3 linked regions of the Arabidopsis thaliana genome follow. The protein of the gene in region 1 interacts with the protein of each later gene in a pairwise test. Each region holds a gene or a part of one and is shown on either strand. Other genes may lie near its edges. The genes, in order: AT5G41500, AT2G28990 and AT5G49760.

Region 1 (3,753 bases):
CAAATAACCTGCAAATAACTTCCTCGATTCTTGAACTTTTAACAAACAAGTTCATCTTAAATGCCTATTCTGAATAAACCGTAAGCACAAACAACCTTGTCTAGGTCAGTAAATGCATTAATGACAATCTCATATGTGTGGCTGTTCCAGTTCGTCCCCGTCTCTTTGCATAGAGTCTTAGCTCGACAAGATCCCAGATCTAAACAATGCCTTAGTCAATATATTGTATATATGTAACTACCTTAGGCTCAAAACCTAGCTAGCTTGTTCATAGAAGACATCATCGTTATGACTCCTTTCAATATCGTTCTCCTTGTATAAGCCATTGATATAGATATTATAGGTATAACAAACATCAGGATCAGCTCATCAAACTACTTGTCTACTTTCGGGTACTGCCCAACAACCACGCCTTGCAACAAACGATTGTGTAACAAACAATATCGGACTTCCTGAAAAGAGAAGTCACAATATACCAGAGAAGTGAGAAACCAAGCAGCCATGGAATCCCTGAAAATAGATTCCGGTGTATCGAACTTCTTAGAGAATTCAAGGTGTTAGTCTGTTAGAGGTTTTCAACTAGCGTTATGATCAAACCCAGATATTCTTACCGCCCTTACCAAGAGGACATGTTCAGTTATGCTCTTGGATATGAGAATAGGAAATCTTGTCGTACCGTTAATTTCTTGAGGTTTGTAGACTATTTACTTCAACGACTCAAAGAGAGTGTTTTTGGGTACGAAATCTACGATTTTGACTTAGATTCATGGACAACTCTTGATGTCAGTCCACACTGGCATATAATATCTTGTGACCTTGGCATTACTCTTAAGAGAAACACTTACTGGCATGCTAGAGAAATGAATTTAGAAGAAAATATCGTCGATCACATAATATGTTTTGATTTTACAAGAGAGAGATTTAGACCGCTTCTGCCTCTGCCGGTTAGCGTTGGGGTTCATGATTATGAATATTTGACTTTATCTCGTGTTAGAGAAGAGAAGCTTGCCGCTTTATTTCAGCACACCGAATCAAATCCATATGAGCTTGAAATATGGATTACAACTAAGATTGAGGCTGAAATGGTGTCGTGGAGCAAGTTCTTGAGAATGGATACGGGACCTGATATATTGGTCACAACTATATGTGAAGGATACTTCATTGACGAGGAGAAGAAAGTCGCCATGGGATTTTAATGAAGACAGAAGACATTCCAAGAACATTTAGCATTATTGGAGAGGCTGGATACTTAATAAATTTAGATATTGGAGTACTCACAAACCAAATGTGTCGGCTACATGTGTGCTCTTATGTTCCAAGTTTGGTCCAAATCAAGAAACCTGCACTACGCAAAAGGATCAAAGACAAAGCAGTTTAGAAAAGCCACGATTTGCACAGAACATGTTGAGACTTGAAGCATTTAAAAAGCAATTCTAGAAGCAAAATATGGAGGAGAGAAAAGGATGGTTAGTCTTAGTTTACTATTTCTTATCTATTTATCTTGTTGTCGAAGCCTAATTTACTATGTTACAAAACTAATTTGGCATTTCTTTCTCATTTACTTTATTTTGGCATTTACGTCAAAAGGAATTTGGAACAGAATTTCCTTTCAATCACTTTTGTTGTTGCTTCATGAATCTTTTCAATTTCTGGATTTGCAGATTGGTTACTGTAAGAAACCTTGGTATTCAAGTTTGTTTATTGAACATAGAAATTAGAAAACAGAATACATAAATACTGTACAAGCTGTTTAACGTAACCGACTCTAATAAACATTCTAATCAAGAGTAAACCACATCTAAACCGGATATGATAACCAATTGATGAGATATATGGAACTATCACTTGTAGTGTTGATAGTTATTATTGATCTTGAAGCCCACGATTGGCCCAGCTTCATTCGTTTAGGGTTTTTGGTATCAATAAGTGTTATATACTTTTCCTTAACGGCAAGATGAAATTTGAGGAAAAGAAAAATAGGGTTTTCGGAAAACCCAACAATGGCGACAACGATCTCTAATCTTCCGAGGGAGTTGATAGAGGAGATTCTTTCTAGGGTTCCCTTGAGAGCCATGAAAGCAATGAGATTAACTTGCAAAAGTTGGAACAATTTATCTAAAAGTGAGAGTTTTATGAAGATGCACATTGGTAAAGCTGCAACAAGAGAAGAGAAGACCATGATGGTTGCGGTGATGCCTCACACTCTTGCTTTAGTGAGCGTTGTCGTCGACGGCGTTAATCCATCTACAGAGCTTAAAGGTCAGTTTAGTTTCCTTGACAAGGAATTCTTTATATATCGAGTCATCCACTATGAGGGTTTGCTGTTATGTATTTTGAAAGACGCTACTAGGATTGTGGTTTGGAATCCGTATTTGGGGCAAGAAAGGTGGATCCAAATCAGATATTCTCACCGTCCACATGGTGTAGACCATTTCAAATATGCTGTTGGATACGCCGACAAGGTATCTTGTCGTAGCGTTAAATTACTGAGGTTTTTAGATTATTTCCACAAAGCATCCGATAAACCATTTTTTTGGTATGAAATCTACGATTTTGACTCTTGTTTATGGACAACTCTTGATATCACTCCACATTGGGGTATATCTTGGACTTACCCTAGAGTTTCCCTTAAGGGAAACACTTACTGGCCTGCTAGAGAAATGAACACAAAAGGTTTCCAAGATCACATAATCTGTTTTGATTTTACAAGTGAGAGATTTGGTCCGCTTCTACCTCTACCTAGGGCTCAAGGATGTCATGTGAGTTTATCTTGTGTTAAAGAAGAGAAGCTTGCAGTTTTACTTAAGCACCGGCTGCACCACGATTCATACGAATATGAGTTTGAGATATGGATTACGACTAAGATTGACGTCGAAATGGTGTCGTGGAGCAAGTTCTTGAGAATGGATATGAGACCTAAGATAAAGCTTCCACTTAGTTTCTACGTTGACGAAGAGAAGAAAGTTTTCATGGGTTTTGATCATGGGGAATATCCCAAGTTATTTCTTAACATCATTGGAGAGACTGGATTCTTAAGAAAATTGGATCTCGGAGTACATGAAGGCCACCGTTCGCCATGCTCTTATGTTCCAAGTTTGGTCCAAATCAAGCATCCTGCAGGAGACAAAATGATAAAACAAAGTAGTTTAGAAGACCGTCGATTTGCTCAAAACAGTTTGAGACTTGCTGCAATTGAAAAGCTCATCAATTAGAGTTATTGATATTGGTATGAGGATGTGCGAAACAAGCAAACGGGATGATTAGGCATAAAATTGAGATTGTTTGCTAAGTTAGCATTTAATGTTATACCTCAATTGTTTTTTTAATGATATTTACATTCTTAGCAAGAAAAGAAAGAAGAAGACATCAACGCTGTTTTTATTTTTTTTTAATTTAGTGTTAAATTATATGCAAAGAAAAAATAAACGTGAATATACGTGAATGCAAACTTTTCATAGCATACTTATAAATTCCTATATTCTCGGTGTATTATCTCGATGCGAACCACACTTGGAGTCCTTCGACATGCTTCTCTACCTTCCCTTGCTTTAGAGTACTCAAACGGTTTCTAACATTTTTATCAATCAGCTTGACCATTTTTTCCGTTGTTGAGGGTCGCTCTCCGTGTCTTCTATCATTCCTCTCCGTCCATATGAAATGTATTGCATTCTCAAACACAAACTTAAGGATGAATCTCTTGGTGTTATCATGAGATTTGCTTGTAATTTCCTTCATCACTTCTAGCCACTTGTC
Region 2 (7,422 bases), on another chromosome or scaffold:
CACTAAAAATAGACGAAAGTAGTTCAGCTGATCTGCCCTCCTTGACTCTCGTCTCCAGAAGACAACCAAATTGCATAGAACTGTGATTCACCCAACTTTTGATAATGGAATGTTTAGAAGATTTATTTAGACCACGGACATTCCAAAAGAAACCCGACATAAAAATTATTTCTTTTTATGAGCCCTATGACCTGAAACACTAGGGTTACCCTTCGTGTTTTGATTCGCAGAGCTTTTGACCACCTTATGCTGAGACTTTGAGATTCGTGGGATGTACGGACGAGTCCCTTGAACACCAACTGAATCTGAATTATCATTTAATTGTTGGGAGAGAACAACAATTTCTCCTTCCTCATGACCGTTTGTGTCAGCCGTGTCCTCCTCCACTGCTAGGACATCAAAACGAGAAGGAGACGCATGATTAACTACTTCTTGAGGTTGAGGACTCCTCTGCCTGCCTACCTTAGCAGGCGATACCGTGTGCCAGGGACCTTCGTCCTTCAAATTTTCCTCGTTTTCCTCTGCAACTTCCTTTCCCTTATTCTGTAAAACAGTCGGATTCTTCATTGGAACTTTCTGAGTGTGAGAATCACCGTTTAGCGTTTTTGTCAAAGTAGCCGAAGGAGATTTCGATAGTATTTCGAGAGGTTTTTCTTTCATGAGAGGAGGCTCTGTTTTATCCTCTGTTTCTATCTCCGTTGGTGTGGATAGCTGATTGGGTGATGGACGCGTTAGACAAACCTCTTGTATATGTCCCCACTTAGAGCATGAAGAGCATCTCGGCGGCAACCAAGGATACTTATATTCGACCATTGCATCAACGCCAGTTTCAGATTTAAAGCGGAATTGTTTTGGCATTTCCTGTGTTAAATCTGCTTCTACAAATACCTTAGCTTCCTCAAAACTGTTGCACAGAACTGTGTCAGGGTGAAGCTTTTTTGGTTCCCCAATAGGACTTGCAAGAAAACTCAGACCCTTCCAAGTAAACATTGAGCGTGGAACATTTTTAATGGTGATCCACATTGGCATTGTTTTAATTTCTGGCTGAGCATCCTCAGCAACCGGGGACCATTTAGAAACGATCATAGGCATGTCAGCTATGTTCCACATTCCTCTGCGAAGAACCCTAGCTCGGACTGAACTCTCTCTGATTCGGAATTTGATTGTTTTAGTGTCTACCACATATGCGTCAATCTTTACCGTCTTGTCTCCAAGTGGCCAGATCTTGTTCACAATAACGTGAACTTTTGCAATATGCGGAGATATTTGTGGAAACCGCCCTATGAGCAAATCATCCCACAATGGTGTTGAATCTTCAAAGATTTCATTTGGGACTTGGACAATCGAATCACCGTTGACCATTGTTACGTTGAATTCATGCTTCGAAAGGGTTGGTCTATTCTGAACAATTGATGAGTATGATGGTTTGGTCGTTTCTGGGGAAGCTTCTGAACTTTTCGATGTGCTCTCCACCACCATCGCCGTCGACATGATGGGGGAAGACGGCGGAAAAGCCGCCAGATCTGCCAGATTGGGACACACGGTAGTGAAACCCTAAATCGCCTTCAAAATCGCCCTGCCACGTCAGCCCTAATTTTTTACCTTTGATTGATTGGTCTATGATTAGTTTGCCGCTGAAAAAATCAACAAAATATAATGTGTCAGTGAATAACATGATTTTTCTTTTTAATCAAAAAACATGATCTTTGTATACTAATTCTGAAACTTAATTATATATATTCGATCCAATCTAGTAAACTAGTTTATAGGACGGGATCCAAACGAAATACTTATCCACGAAAGAAACCTTTATATATCTTTGTGCTCGAAAGTTTTCTCATTCGTTATTTTGGTGGCTGACTACTAAATGAAGATATACCAAATGATTTTTCTTCACTCAAGCAATTTAAGCACATAGACAAAGTAAGATCATCTGGCGATAAACCATACATTCGTGGAGGAAATATTCCTACACATGACGAGTCTCCTGAACATATACAACTATTCAACACCAGATTGATTATTTCCACGATCATTATTTAATTTTCTACCCGGAGTTGACTTTTGTATATTTCATTCCAACTTATACATGAGGTATCTCTCAGTTCCATATCTTTTGCAGTTTTCCCTAAGCAAGTCTTTGTTTTTTCTTGAGTACTAGAGAAACCGGATAGTGATCGAGAGAGAACATGAAGATTCACCTTTTGTTGGCCATGATTGGAACCTTTGTCGTTATAATTGGAGCCCAGGATCAAGAAGGTAATGATATATACCATCTCTTTCTTGTTTATAAATCAATCCTTTGACTTGTGATATGTTATATAAGAATGTATCAATATCACTTTTCCCATTTATTGCTTTTATATTTGAACAGGTTTCATCAGTTTAGATTGTGGATTACCTAGTGACGAATCTCCTTACGATGATTCGTTTAACGGATTAACATTCACATCGGATTCCACTTTCATCCAAACAGGAAAAATTGATAGTGTCGATAAAGATCTTAACATAAACTTATCAAAACAATATTTGACTCTTAGATACTTCCCAGAAGGAAAACGTAATTGTTATAGTCTTGATGTCAAGCGTGGCACAACTTATCTCATCGTGGTTAGCTTTGTATATGGAAATTATGATGGTCTTAACCGTGATCCAAACTTCGATATCCATCTTGGTCCCAATAAGTGGAAAAGAATAGATTTGGATGGAGAGAAAGAAGGTACAAGAGAAGAGATCATACACAAAGCCAGGTCAAACTCTTTGGATATTTGTCTTGTTAAGACAGGAGAAACTTTGCCAATAATTTCAGCCATAGAAATACGGCCACTAAGGAATAATACGTATGTTACACAATCTGGTTCGCTGATGATGTCTTTCCGGGTTTATCTTAGCAATTCAGATGCATCTATAAGGTAAGTCAATCTATTTGAAGCATTCAATGTGACGTTTTTCTTTTGAATAAAATTTAACATTATTCTTTTAAAAAATGTGAGGTTTTTCTCTCTTTTTTTTTCTGGAGAAGATATGAATGAGGGGATATGTTGACTTTACTTGTGTTAAAAACATCATTGTTGAATGATGTGTTCAAAATTTTAAGACTCCAACGTAACTACATTATGCCAAAACTATATGGCAAGTCATTGTAACAATTGAACAAAGAACTAAGAACAACGAACTAGAAATAAAAGATACTAATATGAGCTAAGAAAACAAATTTTTTTTTTCTTTTTTTTGTTCACAATTAAAACTAAATTAATTAATTGAAAGAAAATAAGCAAGAACCAAACAACCAAATCAAACATACAAAAGACTAACATTATTGTAAATCAAACTAAACAAGCAACGATAAATGAAATTGAATGATTGAATTCATTATTAAAAAAACGAGCCAAGGTGATTGACTCGGATAGTTGCCAACTAACTTAGTTTTTGGTATCTTAGTTTCATAGACTAGTATTTGGCTAATACAATTTACTTATTAATTTATGTGGCTAATAAAATTTATTGTAGGTATGCTGATGACGTCCATGATCGTATTTGGTCTCCATTCAACGGATCTTCACATACACATATAACAACTGATCTCAATATAAACAACTCAAATGCATATGAGATTCCAAAAAATATACTCCAAACTGCTGCCATACCAAGAAACGCCAGTGCGCCGCTGATTATTACGTGGGATCCACTACCCATTAATGCGGAGGTATACTTGTACATGCACTTTGCGGAGATTCAAACCCTTGAAGCCAACGAGACGAGGCAGTTTGACGTTATCTTGAGAGGAAACTTTAATCATTCAGGATTTAGTCCAACCAAGTTAAAGGTATTTACATTATACACAGAAGAACCAATGAAATGTGGTTCAGAAGGTTGTTATTTACAGCTAGTAAAAACACCGAACTCAACTCTGCCACCTCTGATCAACGCTATTGAGGCATACAGTGTTATCGAGTTCTCACAATTGGAAACAAGTCTTAGTGATGGTACGTACCTCTCAGCTTTCAATATTACAGGAATGTAACTTATATTATAAAGTATAAGCTATGATATTGATTCTTACATTATATTATAAAGTATGATATTGATTGTTACGTTCTCTTAATAATTGTGTCAGTGGACGCTATCAAGAACATCAAAAATACTTATAAGCTGAATAAAATCACTTGGCAAGGAGATCCATGTCTCCCTCAAGATTTGTCGTGGGAAAGTATTAGATGCACCTACGTAGATGGCTCCACTTCACCAACAATCATTTCCTTGTAATGTCATTCACAAACTTACTCTTTAATTTAAAATTTAAATATCTAAATATTTTGTATGTGTTTTTGTATTATTAGAGATTTGTCGAAAAGTGGATTAAATGGGAGTATACCCCAAATTTTACAAAATTTCACGCAATTACAAGAACTGTAAGTATCTCTACTGTTGATCACCTGAACCAATAATGATTTATTTGGACAGAATATGTAAGACAATTTCTTTTGTTTGTGCATATAACCACAGGGACTTATCAAATAATAGCTTGACTGGACCGGTGCCTATCTTCCTTGCCAACATGAAAACGTTATCTTTAATGTAAGCTATCTAAAAAGCATAAATGAACATTTTGACCTGCGTATGTATGTATATATAATGGTTATCTTTGTCTCAACAGAAACTTAAGTGGGAACAATCTCAGTGGTTCAGTTCCTCAAGCTCTTCTTGACAAAGAAAAAGAAGGACTTGTGTTAAAGTAAGATTTCCTTTTCCATAGAGGGAATGCATTTACTAATCATATAGTAACAAAGTAGAGGAACTTCATTTTTGGAGACTATTTAACTGCTAGATCTTTCTTAATTAAGAGAGTTCATGTCGATTAAATTATCGCAAAATATGGTACCTGACAGTTCGATTATTGCCTTTCCTATGCAAGCTATTTACAATTTCAAAATATGTCATATTCATTGTAGACTTGAAGGAAATCCAGATTTGTGCAAATCCAGTTTTTGCAATACCGAAAAGAAAAATAAATTCTTGCTCCCGGTTATTGCATCAGCTGCCTCTTTGGTTATTGTAGTTGTGGTTGTGGCTCTTTTTTTTGTCTTCCGAAAGAAGAAGGCCAGCCCTTCAAGTAAGTTATGAGCCATTAATAATTTGTTTACCTGCTATAAAGCAATGCATATAGTTAGCATATAACCAAATATACTATCATATGTAGATCTACATGCTCCACCAAGTATGCCTGTATCGAATCCCGGGCACAATAGTCAATCAGAATCATCATTCACATCGAAAAAAATTAGGTTTACTTACTCTGAGGTTCAAGAAATGACAAATAACTTCGATAAAGCTCTCGGTGAAGGAGGATTTGGAGTCGTGTATCATGGTTTTGTTAATGTTATTGAACAAGTAGCAGTTAAATTGCTATCACAATCATCTTCTCAAGGCTATAAGCATTTCAAGGCAGAGGTACCCTTTTTCTAGTAATTCTCAATAGATATCCAATTGATTTGTATATCTCTAAGAGTGTTGGATGATGGATGATTGGTTAGGTGGAACTCCTTATGAGAGTTCACCATATAAATTTGGTGAGTCTTGTTGGGTATTGTGATGAAGGAGAACACTTGGCTCTTATTTATGAATACATGCCAAATGGAGACTTAAAGCAACATTTGTCAGGTAATATCACATATATAATTGTTTTCTTAATAAAACCTAACCATGATATAATTTTTTTTTCTGAATAATTAAAGATCATAACTAAATTGATATGAAGTGTGTTTAATTGATACAGGAAAGCATGGCGGATTCGTCCTGAGCTGGGAAAGTAGACTAAAAATAGTTTTGGATGCAGCACTAGGTATTCATTAAACTTTAAGACAAATGTTTAGTTAATAATTACAGCTTTTATGGGTATTAGTATGGCCTCGACCGGATCAGAAAGGAACCATATGATGATATCGAAATTAATCTCCATTTTCCAATAAACGATGGTATTAAATTTAATATGTAGGATTGGAGTATTTACATACTGGATGTGTACCACCAATGGTTCACAGAGATATCAAAACTACGAATATACTTCTAGATCAACATCTCCAAGCTAAATTAGCTGATTTTGGGCTTTCAAGATCTTTTCCCATCGGAAATGAGAAAAATGTGTCAACTGTTGTTGCTGGTACTCCTGGATATCTTGATCCTGAGTGAGTATAACTTCATATGTTAGTTCCAAAATCACCATTCCTTTTTTTTACTTTACAATCACAACAATTTCTTGTTTTGCAGGTATTATCAAACAAATTGGTTGACAGAAAAGAGTGATATATACAGTTTCGGAATTGTACTGTTAGAGATAATTTCAAACCGTCCTATAATCCAGCAATCCCGTGAAAAGCCTCACATAGTGGAATGGGTCAGTTTTATGATAACAAAAGGAGATCTTAGAAGTATTATGGATCCAAACCTCCACCAAGATTATGATATTGGTTCTGTCTGGAAGGCCATTGAATTAGCAATGTCATGTGTGAGTCTTTCTTCTGCAAGACGACCAAACATGTCTCGAGTTGTGAATGAATTAAAAGAATGTCTTATATCCGAAACCTCTAGGATAGGTGAGGGACGAGACATGGAATCAAAAGGTTCAATGGAATTCAGCAGAGACATTTATAATGAGGTAATACCTCAAGCTCGCTAGCTCGTCAAAATTTATTCTTGCTGGTTTTTCTTCTCATGAATATTCAAATTTGTGTGTTTCAAGAGTGTCTTTCGCCAATAATAACTAAGGCTTTCACTAATAACATGTAATACTGATGTTGAATTGTCGTAGTGTGATATATATTTTGTGAAATACATATGGTGAAATTTATTGAAATTATTTCATGAATTTGTAACCCACAACTAATTCTCGTCTTTGTTTCTATCTCAAGAAATGCATTAGGTTGTTCCCACTTTCGGTATTTTGAAAACCAAAGGAAGAGTTGAATATACCAAAACTTATGTATTTCCTTCAAAACTTAAGAGCTGTTTATATTTCCTTCAAAAGAAGATAAATAAAGAAGATATAAATGGTCTAATAAACCAAAAGTTGGTCAAAATTTAGTCTAAATATAAAACATGAACGTAATAGAACTTGTTTACAAGCGTATATCTCGTTGATCCTGAGTTTAATAAGATGTATAATAGTAAATGTTACGAAGAACTCCAATAATGAAATATCACAAGACAGATTTATCTTGTGGAGAGGGTTCATCATGTAAATGTTTTTTTTTTTTTCACCATGTAAAGTTGGTAATTCTTGTTGTATATTGTTTTAACGAAGACACACTTCGACCTAGTCTAGTACACAACCAGTGGAGATTTAAAACAACATCTATCATTCAAATTGGACAAAGAAATAACCGAATCCAAGGAACCTTGCATTGGATTTAGGATTTATGACAA
Region 3 (7,520 bases), 3.6 Mb from region 1:
TTATTTTGCACCCATTCCAATCGTGGGGTTTTAAGTTTTAACCCGTAAATTATTTTTTTGTTTATTTTGTATTTTTGATACGAAAGCCCATAAATTGTGAAGTAAAAAGGCCCAATAGGCCCATAAAATTGGGAGAAGAGACGATCATCGGACAAACCGAGAAAGTGAAACAACAAAGAAGAAACCTGACTCTTCAGAAACTATTCAGGCGAGAGAGAGAGAGAGAAACAATTTTGGACAAGAACAGAAACGATGTACGTTTTCTGTGATCTCAATATTAGATATAGTATTCCAGTTAATCGGAAACAAAGAAGCAACAATTTGCAAATCACGGAGGTTGAACCACTGGAGGAGTTGGATTCAGTCTGGAAGGAAATCCAAGTTAACCAACAACACTTTTAGATAATCGGAACACTATATTCAATGACTATTTTGATTCCAGAGACTGTTTTGCAACCCAAACAGATCCTGATCTCAAGAATAGCTACCAGAGTAGCTATGAAGGCAGCCGTGTATGATGTATCAAGTTCTTCACATCTTCAGGTTCAAAGCTAGTAAACCATTTGAGAATCCATCCCTGGCAACATTCTTTCCTTTCTAAGACATTGAATTTGATGAGCTTTATACATCTTAGGTAATGTTACTGTTGCACCAGAACTTTGTGATTCCGGCAATACCATAATTTAGGAGTTGTAATTAATCTTCCTTGAGATATTATGCTTGTAAAACACATGTTTAATAAGTTATTCAAGACTTTTCCACAAGTCTTGTTGAACGTTTTTGAAGTTGTTGAGAGATATCATAGAAAATTCCAAAAATAATGAATCGCTAGATCAATCTATATCCAAACTGATTATTAAGACCCAGTCAATACACAAATTGCTATTCTAGCAAATGTAAGTGGTGAGGTGCACCTTAGGCTTCAAATGGCCACGGCGGACTGACAAAACCATTTGCGGGATTGGATCTCTTGTTGTTTACCATTCATAAACTGTAGTCTGTGGACCGAAAAAAAAAAAAATCGCCGTAGACAAACTAGCTACTGATTTTACATACTGTAGAAATAAATTTGGTATGGAGCTGACAACATGGTTTAGTCCGCTCCGCCCGTAACATCCATTCAAAGCCTTAACATATAACGTAGTTAACGCGTAGAGTATTTGAGTGTATATATGTATCCCCTAAACACACGTAGTTGCACGAGTGTAGCTTGTGGACACTAACAGTTTCAGTCCACTATCAAGTTGATCGACAAAACATTATGTTGACATACATCAATAGCTTGATCCTACCACTACAACATTGCTATGATGTTTCTCCACTTCTTGTTGTTGTTGTTGTCCTTGCTACTTGTACTCTCTTAGTCTCCCCTAGCTTGGTAATAAAGTTCATCAATAGCCAAATTTAAAGGTTTGGTCCTTGTAAGCTTGACACAACACAAATTAGTTACACATCTTCTTCTCATAGCTCACATTTATTTATATATGTTTTGCATACCCACTCGATTATTAAATAATTAGTTTTGAAGTTCTAGTCAATATTTCATCAAATCATCATCATCATCATCATCACTGTTGTTGTAATTAGTATTAGTATATCAAGTTGGAAAATGGCTTGTCCTCATTTTTCCAACGAGGCAACGACCATGACTTTATTCAATCTTGGTTGTTAAAAAAAACATATCACTGCATAGTTGATGACCACAACTATATTCCACAAGTCTCTCTTTCTGAGATCTAACGATTTGGGCAAACAAAATCATATTTTATTCTTTGTTTTTGAAGTTTATAGATATTTTTTTTTGTAATCAATAATGAGTGTATTTAATACAGTAGATAAATAAGGGTCCTACTTTAGTTTCGCATCACGACAACTCATATGTATACTTTAATGTATTGTTTCATAAATTGTTCCTTCCCATTACTCAATTGACATTTCCATTTAACAACTCTTCCCAATTGTGAAACCTTTATATCCCATTATCAGCTGTTTTAAGTTGACCAAGTTTTTTCTTATGGTCCTCTTCCTATTTTCTTCTTTTGATATACTTTTTTTTTTAACTCTATTTGTTCAAAGTCTTCGTCTTCTTTTTGTTAACATTATTGTTTACATGTTTTTGAAAGAGAGATTATAATTTTTATTAAGAGATTCGTCAAACCTTTGTGTAGAGCACATGCTTTTTTCTTAGATTATTTTGAGATAGGATCAGAAAACAGAGGAAGTGATAAGAGGTTCTTTTTGGGTTTGAAGATGAGTTCAAGAACTGGAGCCTCTTTGCTCCTGATCTTGTTTTTCTTCCAAATTTGTTCTGTTTCGGCACTCACGAATGGTTTAGACGGTGAGTGTGTGTGGATATATACATATACAACCATATAGATGATGAACAGAGTTTTTCCTAATCTTGAATATTGGTGCAGCTTCTGCTTTAAATGCTCTGAAGAGTGAATGGACCACTCCTCCTGATGGTTGGGAAGGCTCTGATCCTTGTGGAACCAATTGGGTTGGAATTACATGTCAAAATGACCGCGTCGTTTCAATGTAAGGCTCTGTAAATTGTTGCTGCTTCTTCCAATAATGCTCTGCAGACTTTTAATGTTGTGTTGCTTATTGTAGATCACTAGGTAACCTTGACTTGGAAGGAAAGCTTCCTGCCGATATATCGTTCTTGTCCGAGTTGCGGATCTTGTATGTCTTTCTTTTTCTTTCTATTTTTCCTTTCACATAAAAATGGTTTTTGGTTGTTTTCATCTTATTATCCAATCTTTGTAGGGATTTGTCATACAATCCTAAATTGTCCGGACCGCTTCCACCAAACATCGGTAACCTTGGGAAGTTAAGGAACTTGTAAGGAAACACACTATCATTAAATCTCTAGTACACAACTTATGTATCACTTTGTCTTATCTCTTATTTTATCTAACTCTTTTTACTCTCCAGGATCCTTGTGGGATGTAGTTTCAGTGGTCAAATCCCTGAGTCCATTGGAACTCTAAAAGAACTTATATATCTGTAAGATTCTGTGGATTCATGTTATTATAAACAGTCAATTGCATTCTCTAAAACCATTAGTATTAATTTTTGTTTCCTCAATACAGCTCCCTAAATTTAAATAAATTTAGTGGAACAATTCCGCCTTCAATTGGCCTGTTATCAAAACTATATTGGTTTGATATAGCTGACAATCAGATTGAAGGAGAGCTTCCAGTTTCTAATGGGACTTCTGCACCTGGACTTGACATGCTTCTTCAAACTAAGCATTTGTATATATAATCCCAAATCTTTCACTTCCGTTTATTATAATCACTCCTTCTAATATAGTAATTGATCTGACTCTCCTTTGCTTTTTTCTTGTAGTCATTTTGGAAAAAACAAGCTTTCAGGCAATATCCCAAAAGAACTTTTCAGCTCAAACATGAGTTTAATACATGTGTAAGCTTCATATTACATTATATAGCTGAGAGATTTCATAAGTTGTGAGTAAGTAACTAACAAAGTGACTGCATTGTTCGTTGTTTTATCGATAGCCTCTTCGATGGAAACCAATTCACGGGCGAAATTCCAGAGACCCTCAGTCTCGTTAAAACGTTGACGGTGTTGTAAGTAGTAATATATATAGTTCAAATTTTTTATTTATCCTAACGTCTATAATTCTTATGTGTTTTTTCTTGGTTCTAGACGCCTTGATAGGAACAAACTCATTGGAGATATTCCTTCATATCTTAACAATCTCACAAATCTTAACGAACTGTAAGTGAGCAACTAAAGATTTGTTCTTTTGTTTGTTGAAAATAAATGAAAATGAGGTACAAGAATTTGTAGTTGAATACATTTCAGGTACTTGGCCAACAACAGATTTACTGGTACTCTTCCAAATTTAACCAGCTTGACCAGTCTCTACACATTGTAAGTTTTTTACATTTATCATCACTACCAATCTCAAACCTTCATTCTTTACCAATCTAATGCCATGATGTGATTGTAAATGTAACAGGGATGTGAGCAATAACACTTTGGATTTCTCACCCATTCCATCATGGATCTCTTCATTACCCTCCCTATCAACATTGTATGAACATCTCTGTCTCTGTCTTGTTCTCCATTTATCTCCCATGTGTATACTTTCTAAGAACAAAGGGTTTTCTTCTTCGCAGAAGGATGGAAGGGATCCAACTTAATGGTCCAATACCAATCTCATTTTTCAGCCCTCCTCAGTTGCAGACTGTGTGAGTAAAAAAAAAAAAAAAAATGAAGCTGGAAATGAACTCAAGAATTATGAACTTTGTACTAAATTGGGATTCTTTTTTTTTTGGACTTTGCAGTATCTTAAAGCGAAATAGTATAGTGGAAAGCTTAGACTTTGGTACAGACGTTAGCAGCCAGTTGGAGTTTGTGGATTTACAATACAATGAAATAACTGATTATAAACCATCAGCTAATAAAGTCCTCCAAGTAATGTATGTATCCTTGTCACTAATCAAACATGACTTCTATTTGTCTCAATCAACTGCTTAAGTGTTTATATATCTACAGATTGGCAAATAATCCAGTGTGTCTAGAGGCGGGAAACGGGCCGAGTTACTGTTCAGCAATCCAACACAATACCTCATTTTCTACACTCCCAACAAACTGTTCTCCATGCGAACCGGGCATGGAAGCGAGTCCCACGTGCCGCTGTGCGTATCCATTCATGGGAACACTCTACTTCCGGTCTCCTTCTTTCTCAGGGTTGTTCAACTCCACCAACTTCTCAATTCTACAGAAGGCAATCGCGGATTTCTTTAAGAAGTTCAATTATCCTGTAGACTCCGTTGGTGTTCGGAACATAAGAGAGAATCCAACTGATCATCAGCTTCTAATAGATCTATTGGTCTTTCCATTGGGAAGAGAGAGTTTTAATCAGACAGGAATGTCACTTGTTGGTTTTGCATTTAGCAACCAGACTTATAAGCCTCCTCCGATATTTGGCCCTTATATTTTCAAAGCTGATTTGTACAAACAGTTCTCTGGTATGATGAACCCTTGTCACACACACAATCAAACTAGAACTAAAGGTTGTTATTGATAACTCATTTGCTCTGCCTTTCTTTTTGTCACAGATGTAGAAGTTTCATCAAAGTCATCAAACAAAAGCATTCTCATTGGAGCAGTAGTTGGTGTTGTTGTTCTTCTACTATTGTTAACAATAGCTGGGATTTACGCTCTTAGGCAGAAGAAGAGAGCTGAAAGAGCAACTGGTCAAAATAATCCTTTTGGTAAGACAACAATATTTACTACTCCCTTGACTAAAATAGCATGAACAAATTTTCTTTGGCATGTTGCAGCTAAATGGGATACAAGTAAGAGTAGTATTGATGCTCCGCAGCTAATGGGAGCAAAAGCGTTTACTTTTGAGGAGCTGAAGAAATGCACTGACAACTTTTCAGAGGCAAATGATGTTGGCGGTGGAGGTTACGGCAAGGTTTGTGTCTTAACAAATGCCTTCAAATGAATGTAACAACTAATGGCCTTAGTTGAAATTCATGATCCCAAATTTTGATGGTTAAATAGGTTTATAGAGGGATTCTTCCTAATGGGCAACTCATAGCAATCAAAAGGGCTCAACAAGGATCTTTGCAAGGAGGGTTGGAGTTCAAAACTGAGATTGAGCTTCTCTCAAGGGTCCATCATAAGAATGTTGTCAGACTCTTGGGCTTCTGCTTTGACCGGAATGAACAAATGCTCGTATACGAGTACATTTCAAATGGGTCACTTAAAGACAGTCTGTCCGGTAAGATCAAACTTCTATCTTCCTCATGAGGATTTCAGATAGTTCTTGGATGCTGAATATGTTAGTAATGCAGGGAAGAGTGGGATTCGATTGGATTGGACAAGAAGACTTAAAATAGCACTTGGTTCAGGCAAGGGCTTGGCTTATCTTCATGAACTTGCTGATCCTCCAATTATACATAGAGACATCAAATCAAATAACATATTACTTGATGAAAATCTAACCGCAAAGGTTGCCGACTTCGGTCTCTCCAAACTTGTGGGAGACCCTGAGAAAACTCATGTCACAACACAAGTCAAAGGAACCATGGTGAGTAGAAAATTTATCCTCCTTTCTCTTTTTTTCTCAAATACATTTTAAACTTACAATATCTTTGTAATCAGGGCTACTTGGATCCAGAGTACTACATGACGAATCAATTAACGGAGAAGAGCGATGTGTATGGGTTTGGTGTGGTTTTACTCGAGCTATTAACCGGTAGAAGTCCGATAGAGAGAGGCAAATATGTGGTGAGAGAGGTGAAGACAAAGATGAATAAATCTCGGAGTTTGTATGACCTGCAGGAGTTGTTGGACACAACGATCATAGCAAGCAGTGGGAATCTAAAAGGGTTCGAGAAGTATGTAGACTTGGCTTTGAGATGTGTGGAGGAGGAAGGAGTTAATAGGCCATCAATGGGTGAGGTTGTGAAAGAGATTGAGAACATAATGCAGCTTGCGGGATTAAATCCTAACTCAGATTCAGCAACGAGTTCAAGAACGTATGAGGACGCAATCAAAGGATCTGGTGATCCTTATGGCAGTGAATCGTTTCAGTACAGTGGGAATTTTCCAGCTTCAAAGCTTGAGCCCCAATGATTGATTATGTTTCTTTTTGTTATTTTGTTATTTCGTAAGTGACTTCATACTTGAAATGCCTTGTGAATGTGGAGTAGCATGATTCTGTTTGATATGTGGTCGCTGATTATAAAGCAGATGAATGGAGAGCCAAACGCAGAATCAAAAACCACCAGATCTTTGGCAATGTCGACACCAGTTTCAAACATAAGAAAAGTAATCAAGCTCAATGTATGATGAATAATTGAATATATTAATTCTTGTTGAGAAGTTTGTGTGGTTTCAAAGATTTAATCCACACATCACACACACTTTTAATTTACTCCAAACCTTTCACATTTATGCATGAGATTATATTACAAATTTATATTACAAATAATTTGTAGTACGTAAGTAAAATTAGTATTAACTAATAAGAAAAAAAAGTAATAAAGTTATTGGGTTTGCAACCTAACACATCAACGATCCCATCGAACAACAACAGTTACATGACCCAGGGTGAATTTATGGTTGTCGTCTCATCTGAGAGCACTCTCTGATCTAGTGTCCTTGTTGTCCACACCTCAAACACGCCCCCAAAATGTATGACATGATTTAACAAAAAATAAAAAGAAACATGATTTAAGACATGTGGTGTGTGGCAACTCTGCCATATATTTCATGGTGAGGTAGCGAACCGGCACCAAGTTTTTCTCGATATGTTTCCTCCATTTACCATTCTTTACGGTAGACTACGGTAGACTCATAACTTTTTTTATACCGGAGTCATATCGTATTAGTTTCTTAAGAGGATTAAAGCACACATATGTTTTTGTGTCTTATTTACTACAAAAAGTCTTTTTACTAAAACACTAACAAAACAAAAATAACATACAAAAAAAATAAGAAAAGTGGTGGGATGTGGCCAAATAGCATTA

What was found.
Region 2: the proteins of AT5G41500 (region 1) and AT2G28990 interact in a protein complementation assay, tested with the Arabidopsis thaliana proteins (one large-scale study listed by BioGRID).
Region 3: the proteins of AT5G41500 (region 1) and AT5G49760 interact in a protein complementation assay, tested with the Arabidopsis thaliana proteins (one large-scale study listed by BioGRID).

Annotation. Positions count from the first base shown.
Region 1 is NC_003076.8:16,602,002-16,605,754, forward strand, and holds AT5G41500 (F-box and associated interaction domains-containing protein), read left to right. Parts: upstream 1-2,000; coding exon 2,001-3,212; downstream 3,213-3,753.
Region 2 is NC_003071.7:12,452,866-12,460,287, forward strand, and holds AT2G28990 (Leucine-rich repeat protein kinase family protein), read left to right. Parts: upstream 1-1,771; 5' UTR 1,772-2,189; coding exon 2,190-2,259; intron 2,260-2,374; coding exon 2,375-2,912; intron 2,913-3,510; coding exon 3,511-3,986; intron 3,987-4,117; coding exon 4,118-4,262; intron 4,263-4,340; coding exon 4,341-4,412; intron 4,413-4,506; coding exon 4,507-4,578; intron 4,579-4,657; coding exon 4,658-4,735; intron 4,736-4,952; coding exon 4,953-5,113; intron 5,114-5,200; coding exon 5,201-5,451; intron 5,452-5,534; coding exon 5,535-5,661; intron 5,662-5,776; coding exon 5,777-5,842; intron 5,843-5,995; coding exon 5,996-6,185; intron 6,186-6,267; coding exon 6,268-6,676; 3' UTR 6,677-6,840; downstream 6,841-7,422.
Region 3 is NC_003076.8:20,214,429-20,221,948, forward strand, and holds AT5G49760 (Leucine-rich repeat protein kinase family protein), read left to right. Parts: upstream 1-1,903; 5' UTR 1,904-2,250; coding exon 2,251-2,338; intron 2,339-2,417; coding exon 2,418-2,538; intron 2,539-2,613; coding exon 2,614-2,685; intron 2,686-2,769; coding exon 2,770-2,844; intron 2,845-2,937; coding exon 2,938-3,009; intron 3,010-3,095; coding exon 3,096-3,260; intron 3,261-3,354; coding exon 3,355-3,429; intron 3,430-3,524; coding exon 3,525-3,596; intron 3,597-3,675; coding exon 3,676-3,747; intron 3,748-3,834; coding exon 3,835-3,903; intron 3,904-3,991; coding exon 3,992-4,066; intron 4,067-4,151; coding exon 4,152-4,223; intron 4,224-4,319; coding exon 4,320-4,454; intron 4,455-4,530; coding exon 4,531-5,006; intron 5,007-5,096; coding exon 5,097-5,252; intron 5,253-5,321; coding exon 5,322-5,458; intron 5,459-5,547; coding exon 5,548-5,767; intron 5,768-5,840; coding exon 5,841-6,076; intron 6,077-6,150; coding exon 6,151-6,624; 3' UTR 6,625-6,954; and 1 more. UniProt on the Arabidopsis thaliana protein: Leucine-rich repeat receptor protein kinase that acts as sensor of extracellular hydrogen peroxide. Required for intracellular calcium influx in response to extracellular hydrogen peroxide.